2 linked regions of the Sus scrofa genome follow. The protein of the gene in region 2 interacts with the protein of the main gene of each other region in a pairwise test. Links are inferred from orthologs where the notes say so. Each region holds a gene or a part of one and is shown on either strand. Other genes may lie near its edges.

Region 1 (4,451 bases), on a different chromosome or scaffold from region 2:
GATGTTGGGTGTCCAGGAAAAATCTCTCTTGGGATAGAGACGCCTCCCACTCAGAGGACTGTTGATCCTACCTTCATGCTCTTGATAAAACTTCTGGCAATCTTCTTTTCTCCACAGAAGTTCTCTCATTCGTACAATAAGGAACTTGTTGCTCAGAATCTGCTGATGAATAGCCTGGATAAACACCACCCCAAGGATAAAAGTCAAAGGGACCAACTTAGTGAACAGGAGACCCAGGCTGACCAAAAGAGCCATGAGGATCCTTCAAAGCCTAGGACTTGAGGGTCTGTCCCTCGTTGGGTAGGAAGAAAAAGAATGTCGGGTGAGGTGAAGACCTTTGGCCACAGAGCCAGGGCATGAAGCTTGTCTCTGCCCTTCCATTCCTACAGCCCCTTGAGCTTAAGCCTGCAGGATCCACCACTCAGACCATCATAAGAGCCTTGGATAGTAGTCTTGCCTTGAGTTTCTACCACTCTTTTCAAACCATCACACTTGACAGATTAAAAACAGTAAGTTATATATGTCACACTCTGGCCAGAAGCTTTTGAGTGGTTCCTTTTTTTCATGGGATGAGGTATAACCACTTTAGCCCAGTGCTCAAGGCCACACGCTCCTTGTCTTTGCCTCCTAATTCTCTAGTTCCATCAACCCAGCCTGCCTGTGGCCTTCAGACCCACCACACACATTCCTGCCTCAGCACTAATCAAAGTCCACCCTTCCTGTAAAGCCTGGCTGAATCCCAATACTTGCACACCACCTCTCCTGGCTGCTCTGGTGCCTCCTTTCACCACATTGAGCTTACTTAAGAGTGCTGCTCAACCAATACTTATCAAACTATTGTAGGCAGGATACTAAAATGACCCTCACAGAGCCCCACCAAGATTCTGCACCCTAATCTCTAGGACTGTGAATAGGATGCAATGTGATTATGTTACATTACATACCAAAAGGGATGTGCAGGTGTAATTAAGGTTACTATAAGGGACTTTTTTTTAATCAAGGGGGAGATTATCCAGATAGGCCTCATCAATCACATGAGCTGTTTAAAAGCAGTTTTAGGGAGTTCCCATTGTGGCTGAGCAGTTAGTGAACCCGAGTAGCATCGATGAGGGCGAGGGTTCAATCCCTGGCTTTGCTCAGTGGGTTAAGGATCCGGCATTGCTGTGAACTATGGTGTAGGTCGCAGACGCAGCTCAGATCCCGTGTTTCTGTGGCTCTGATGTGGGTCAGTGGCTACAGCTCCAATTAGACCCCTACCCTGGGAACCTCAATATGCAGTGGGTGCGGCCCTAAAAAGACAAAGAAAAAACAAAAAAACAAAAAAAACAAACCTAACCAACCAAACAAACAAACAAAAAAACACAGAGTTTTACCTGGTTGGGGCCTAAAGAAGTCAGAGAGATTAAAAGCAACAGCCAGTTGCTCTCTTGAAGACAGAGTGAGCCATGTGATGAGGAATGTGGGTCTCTAAAAACAGGGTAGTCCCCACCTGAAGGCCAGCAAGGACATGGGGACCTCAGTCCTATAACCACAGAAGCCAAATTTTGCCAACCTGAACGAATTTTGCAGTGGATTCTTCCCTAGACCCTTTAGATAAGGGCCCAGTTAGCTGATACCTAAACTTTGGCTTTGTGAGATCCTAAGGAGAGAACCCAGCCCCCAGCCAAGCCTACTGGACCTCTAAATTCTAGAACTGTGAGATAATGAGTGTTATTTTAAGCTACTAAGTAATCTGTTATGCAGCAGTAGAGAACTAATATACACACACTGTCTTCAGGTTTGGTTCTTATTGTATTGCATCCTCTCTTATATTTTATATCTGCCACAATTCTCCAACAGATTTTTAGTCTCTGTAGTGTAAGAGGCCATGGCATCTAGCTTTGCCTCCACACCATCTAGCACAGAACTGTGTTGTCAGTCTTCACAAGTGGCGCTCCAGCACCTGAAACAGAAGCAGTGCCCAGGGCACAGAGTAGAGGCTTAGGACTTGTTCTTACCTCTAGAATCAGTGGGTGAGCAACTGCATCAGGCTTTATCAGTGCCAGAGTGAGCTGGAGTGCCTGAGGGCTCCGCAAGATCGAAGTCATCTCCCTCCTGCCATGAAGAGAGCCAGATTGGAGACCCATCAGTGCTGCATTCCCCACCTTTCCCACTCTGGAGCCTTTAAGTCAACCAGGGCTCTCACTCCTAACTCATAAAGCAGATGACAGTTACTTAGTATTTAATTGCTCATTTGGGCTCATGAGATGGAGAGAAGGGAGTGGTAGGGGGACCATTCAAGTTGTGCAATTCATAATCTGGCTTGTGCAACTGTAAACCTAGGAAGGAGTTACCCATTCAGAAGTTCAAATTTAAACACTACCTGTCTCTGCCAGTACTCCCATCAGAGAATTTATAATTTACATTCCCAAACAGCCTTGCTACAAGGGTACAAAAACTGTTCCCACAGTATTTGTTAATTAATGAATCTGATCCACCTATTCCAAAGCCAGGGTGCTGGGAGCTATTCTGGGGAGGCAGTCCTAAGGCCAGCTAAATTATGCCTGTCCTGGCTCTTGGTTTACAGCAAATGCTGAAAGGTCGAGAAACTCGCTCAACTTAAACTCGCGCCATTAGACAATTACAAATTTTAGAAGCTGCCTGGGCGTTTGCCCCCACAAGGGTGCCTAGGTCTCTGCTTCCCGGAGGGCGCCAGCCACGCCCCTTGTCCTCCCAAGTGCCTCCGGAACCTGCAGCCCTTCTCCTCCCACCGACACCCGAGGCTCCGCCTTCCAATACCGCAGGCTCCCAGCCTCAGCTTTTGGCAGCGCCTCCTTCCCTCTCTGCTCCTCCGTTTCTCTAGGCCTGCAGCCACGCGAACCGGCCGAGGCCTAAGCCACCCCAGATTCTGGTCTATTCAGAGTTCCAGTCCAGCTGGAGTTCGGGTCCGAGTCACCTGGACCTCCCCGCGCGGCCACCAGGCACTGCGATAGCTGGCCTTGCCGACTAAGCGGGGTCCTTCAGGCGTTCGGCCGGGCAGCCCTCCGTGGGGTCCTTGCCGTGAGGACGCGAGCGCCCTTGGAGTGAGGTATGGCGATGTGCCAGCCAGTCTGGAAGGCCCTGCTGCGGCAAGGACCGCCCCCAGGTGGCCCAAGTGTCTCTACTGCACTTGCCCCGTACCGGATGAGGCAATGAAGTCGTCTCGGGCGGAAGCTGCTCTTCCTAGCTGTCTCGGGCGCCCTCCAGCGGGAGGAAGGGCCAGGGCCGCAGCCCTGAGCGGGGAGGTGGCACGGGGAGGACAGGATGGGCGTTCCAGAGTGGCGTTGCCCAACTCGCTCTCTGTTTTATTTTTAGTGTAAGGTAGTGCCTGGCGCATGGTTGGTGCCCAGTATTTGTCGGAAAAACATGGGTGGCAAAGAACTTGGTCGCCGGATCTCGAGGGCAAACTGCAGCCATTGGAAGTCTTGAGCACAGAGAGATACGTGGACGGGAAGGGCCATAGAATCCCAATATGGGGTTGGTGAGGGAGGATTCTTGACTGAAAGGATGTTCGCAGGTCTTGAGGGAAACTAGTCGTTAAGGCCTTTGAACATGTCGCTAAGGAATTTGAGATAGGATTGGAGTGGGGTTACCCTGGTGTTTGCTGAAGCAGTCCAGGGCGAGGAGGTGAGAAATAGAGGTGTTCATGGTGTATCGTCTAATGTATGGAAAGGGAACAGTGGCAGATTGAATAACGGTAGTAAATTTTGTTTCTTGGAGAGAAGCACTAAATTTGAGAAGAGTGAAAATAAGCGGTAAGTATTATCAATTAAAAAATGTTTAAGCCGACTTTGTGCCTGCATGTACAGGTGTTGCACTGTTGGAATGTTGGAAGGACGTTCTGTAGTTCTGCAGCTTCTTTCCACGGGTGTCTTTAGAAAAGTCCATGTCTTACCCTCTGGCTAGCGAAGAAGGCACGTGTCCATTTCTGCCCTCAGGGGATGAGAGTAAACTTACCGTGTCCCATTGACCAGACCGCTGGTTTTAGCTTTTTTCTCAGATACATAAGGTCCAACTTTGTTTCCTACTTTTATTTTCATTAACATACCTTTGGGATATAGGGATTTTGCCAATTTTTAGGCTGTGGTTATTATTTCACCTTTTCTGTGTGTCTCTCTTACAAACATTGTAGAAGGCTTTATCTCCATATTTTATAGTGGCTTTGACTATCCTCAAAAATAAGCCTGTATAATGAAAGTAATAGCAGATGTGATTTTAGGGGAAGACTCAATAAAAAACACCTTTTTTTTTTTCCCCCTAAACTTGGGCTCAGAACAGAAATAGAGGAATGGTGGGTAGGTGGAGACCAAACATCAGCTTAATTAATACTGATGGAGCTGTTGGAGAATGTCACTTAATGCATCTGCCTTCTAACTCTGCACTATCCAAGACCAATACCTAGTCTCTTATAAGCCTCTCTTAAAACAATAGAA
Region 2 (4,260 bases):
TTTTTTTTGTCTTTTTGCTATTTCTTGGGCCGCTCCTGCAGCATATGGAGGTTCCCAGGCTAGGGGTCGAATCGGAGCTGCAGCCACCGGCCTACGCCAGAGCCACAGCAACTCGGGATCCGAGCCGAGTCTGCAACCTACACCACAGCTCACGGCAACGCCGGATCGTTAACCCACTGAGCAAGGCCAGGGATTGAACCTGCAATCTCATGGTTCCTAGTCGGATTCGTTAACCACTGCGCCACGACGGAAACTCCTCCTTTTTCTTTTTTAAGCTGCACCTGCAGCATAGGGAAGTTCCCAGGCTAGAGGTCGAATTGGAGCTGTAGCCACTGGCCTACACCACAGCCACAGCAACACCAGATCCAAGACACGTCTGTGACCTACACCGCAGCTGACGACAATGCTGGATCCTTTAACCCCACTAATCGAGGCCAGGGACAGCATCCGCATCCTCATGGACACTAGTCGGGTTCTTAACCCACTGAGCCACAATGGGAACTCCACAGCTCATTTATTTTTAAACTTCATTTCTTTTTTTTTAACCTCCTCATTTTAGAGATGAGATCCAGAGAAGGGAGACAACCTCCTAACATCAGGGAGCAGGTCAGTAGCAGAGCCAGCACAGGAACCCAGGTGCTCAGACTCCCAAATCGCTCATGAGGGCGTCCTCCGTTGCATGCTAAACTCTAGTACTAAACCGGTGAGGACAATCTGCCGTTATGAAACCTTGAAGAAGGTGCTCCAGCTGGATCCTTGAAGGTGAGTAGGAATTTGCTAGGCATCTGCGGTGAGAGGAGGGCAGTGGGGAGGGCATTCGAGGCACTGTGTGCAACGTGAGGAAACCTGAAAAATCCCTGGGGTTTAGAAATTACAAGCAGAGCCCCCTGAGTTGGTCCGAAGGTTGTGGGTTATTGTTAAGCTGTTTAACAGGCAGAGCCACCTGACTTAAGGGGAGTGACGGGCTGAGGGGCAGAGGTGATGCTGTGGAAAACAGCAGGGATTGCAGCACTGACCCAGCGGCGGGAGAGCGGGAACAGAGGCAACACGGCCAGGTAAGAAATGACGAGGGACCGTGGGTAGGGGGCGAGCACTACGCTGGAGTCGTACAGAGTAGGCAACCCCTTAAATTTTACTCCTGCCGACTGCCAAAAAAGCAAAATGAAAGTGCCCACCAGAGCCAGCAGCGTGCTCCGCAAACGTGCGCTGTGCGGCAAGGAGAGTGAGTTCAGGCCGGCTGCGGGCTGCTGCAGCACCGCGAAAAGTTGCAAACTAAGTGGGCAGGGCCGGGAAGGGTTCCCCAGGTCGACTCACTCAGGATCGGGGACTAACAGGCTCCGCCCAGCCCTCTCGCCTCCTTGAGCCATTGGCTACCCTCAGCGTCTTTGCCTTCACCCATTCGTAAACGTGACCCTGGGTTCTTCCGCCGGGGCTTGGGGTCAAGGGTCACCAATATGGCAGCGCCCAGGAGCGGCTGAAACGTGAAGCGGAGGATGGCGCTGGTGGCGCTGGCGGCGAGGGCTCGGCTGGGGAACTGGCTGAGCGGGCGGGGGCTGGGGCTGGGGCTGCGGCTGGGGCGCGGGCACTGGACGGCGGCCGGGCGCTCTCGGAGTCGGCGCGAGGCGGCCGAGGCCGAGGCGGAGGCGCCGGTGTTCCAGTACGTGGGCGAGCGTGCGGCCCGCGCCGACCGCATCTTCGTGTGGGGCTTCAGCTTCTCGGGGGCGCTGGGCGTGCCCACCTTCGTGCTGCCCAGCTCTGGGCCCCATCCTCACGCCGGCTTGCGGCCGCGCCGCAGGATCCAGTGTGTACCTTACCGCCTGGAGCTGGACCAAAAGGTGCGCTCTGCAGCTCCCTCCCTTCCTCCGTTTCCTCCTCGGGTCTCCGCCGCCGTCTCTCGAGGCACTTGGCGACGGGTGGACGGACTTCGGGGAGAAAGATCCTCGACCGGGCTGCGGGCGGGGGGAGGCCCTAGGGCGCTGCCAAGTTGAGGGAGTGGCGAAATGTCCTAGGTGTTTTGTCTCTCATTTGCGCATCACCCCAGGAGTCGGGTTTGTGGCACAGTTATGGGCGAGGAAAGGGAGGCTCAGAGAGGTTGAGAGGAAGGTCCGTGGCCCCGCAGCTGGTTGAAGTTTGTATACTAGGATTCGCCCTCGGGCCAGGCTCCAGCAGAAGTTCTGATTTTAGGAAAGACGATTTTATGAGGTCGGAGAAAACGTGGCTGGCTGGAGTCGATGAACTACTTGGAAAGGAAACTAGAGCGCTTACAGGAATGAGGGGAAGGATGAAGGCCCCTGAGTTTACTCAGTTTTGAAAAGGTGATGCAAAGAATCGTTGCGGGACGGGAGTTTGTCTCGGCAGCCAGCACCCATTAGTGCAAAAATGGATGCTTAGGATAGATTCTTGCCTCGGGTGGTTGTGGACATCTTGATGGGTGGTGAAAAAGAAGCAAATTTGATCGGTTTGGCTTCTGACTTCTCTTTCAAGGATATCCAGTGATTTTTTAATGAAAAGGGTAGATCGAGAAAAACAGGGAATTTAAGCTCCAGATGATTGAAAAGTTGTTTTGATTTCTTCATTTTGAGTTGTAAGAGTTATTTATGTATTCTGGATTAGGTACCTTGTCATATATATATATATATATATTATATATATATATATATATAAGGTGGAAATATTTTCTGCCAATCTATGGATTTTCTTTTTCATTTCTTAATACTGCCCTTGGGAGAGCATAAGCTTTTAATTTTAATGAAATTCAGTTAAGTTTTTCTACTGTGAATCGTATATTTGGTATATCTGAGAAATCTTTGCCTAATCTAAGATTACAAAGATAATTTTCCTAAGGTATTGTCTAGGAACGTCATAGTTTTCGTTCTTATATTTAGGTTAACAAGCTAGTCATTCGAGTTGACTTTTGGGTGCTGTGGAAGTGAGAGTAGAATGTGGCTAGTATTATCATTAGTTGAAATTATTTCCTTACTGAATTGTCTTGGCACCTTTGTGAAAATCAGTATGACTGTAAATGTAAGGATTTATTCTGGAACTCTCAATTCTGATCCATTGATCTATATGTTTCTCATTATGCTAAAAGTACACTCTTGATTACTGTAGCTTTATAACTAGTTTTGAAATTGCGAAAGGTAAATTTTGGCTCTTCTGGGTGTTTTGCTTTTCCATATAAATTTTAGGACTAGCTTGTTAATTTCTGCGACAGTACCTACTGAGATTTTGATAGCGATTACATTGAATCTATACGTTGATTTGGACACAAATGCCATCTAAGCAATTTTGTGTCTTCTAATCTATGAACATGTAATGTCTCCCCATTTAATTAGGTTTTTAAGGAGTTCCTGTTGTGGCTTAGTGGTTAACAAATCTGACTAGGAACCATGAGGTTGCAGGTTCCATCCCTGGCCTTGCTCAGTGGGTTGAAAATCTGGCGTTGCTGTGAGCTGTGAGCTGTGGTATAGCTCGCAGATGTGGCTTGGATCCGTGGCTGTGGCTGTGGTGTAGGCCGGCGGCTACAGCTCCGACTAGACCCCTAGCCTGGGAACCTCTATATGCCGTGGGTTTGGCCCTAGAAAAGACAAAAAAAAAAAAAAGACAATTAGGTCTTTAATTTCTCTCAACTATGTTTTTTGTAGTTTACGGTGTACAGATCTTACACATCTGTTAAATTTATTCCTAAGCATTTTATTCTTTTTGGTTGCTCTTTTGAATAGAATTGCATTCTTTCATTTTTGAAGTGTTCATAGCTTTTACATAGAAATAGTTAGTTATTGTATATTGACCTTATATTTTGTGACTTTATCGAACTGGCTTATTAGTTATATAGATTTTTGTGTATTCTTTAGGATATTCTACATACAGGATCATGTCGTCTGGTTGTCTGTGAATAGAGACAGTTTTATATTTTCGTTTCCATTGAAACTTTTTCTTGCCTGATAGCACTGCTGAGTGTACAGCATTGAATTGAATTGCACAGTATCCTTGCCTTGTTACTGATATTAGCGAGATAGTATTTAGTCTTTCACCATTAAATTATGATGTTAGCTGTTAAGTTTCTTTTTTTGTCTTTTTGCCATTTCTTGGGCCGCTCCTGTGGCATATGGAGGTCCCCAGGCCAGGAGTCGAATCGGAGCCATAGCCGCTGGCCTATGCCAGAGCCACAGCAAGCAAGATTTGAGCCGAGTCTGCAACCTACACCACAGCTCACGGCAACGCTGGATCCTTGACCCACTGAGCAAGGCCAGGGATTGA

The links.
Region 1: the proteins of RCC1L (region 2) and NME6 interact in binary tests that used the Homo sapiens proteins (3 or more experiments, as listed by UniProt). The link is inferred for Sus scrofa from reciprocal best matches to the Homo sapiens genes RCC1L and NME6.

What each region holds. Positions count from the first base shown.
Region 1 is NC_010455.5:31,050,209-31,054,659, forward strand, and holds the start of NME6 (nucleoside diphosphate kinase 6), read right to left. Parts: upstream 3,078-4,451; 5' UTR 2,936-3,077; exon of another isoform or gene 2,363-2,935; intron 2,095-2,362; 5' UTR 2,088-2,094; coding exon 1,998-2,087; intron 175-1,997; coding exon 72-174; intron 1-71. UniProt on the Homo sapiens protein: Major role in the synthesis of nucleoside triphosphates other than ATP. The ATP gamma phosphate is transferred to the NDP beta phosphate via a ping-pong mechanism, using a phosphorylated active-site intermediate. Inhibitor of p53-induced apoptosis.
Region 2 is NC_010445.4:11,914,107-11,918,366, forward strand, and holds the start of RCC1L (RCC1-like G exchanging factor-like protein), read left to right. Parts: upstream 1-1,433; 5' UTR 1,434-1,493; coding exon 1,494-1,835; intron 1,836-4,260. UniProt on the Homo sapiens protein: Guanine nucleotide exchange factor (GEF) for mitochondrial dynamin-related GTPase OPA1. Activates OPA1, by exchanging bound GDP for free GTP, and drives OPA1 and MFN1-dependent mitochondrial fusion. Plays an essential role in mitochondrial ribosome biogenesis.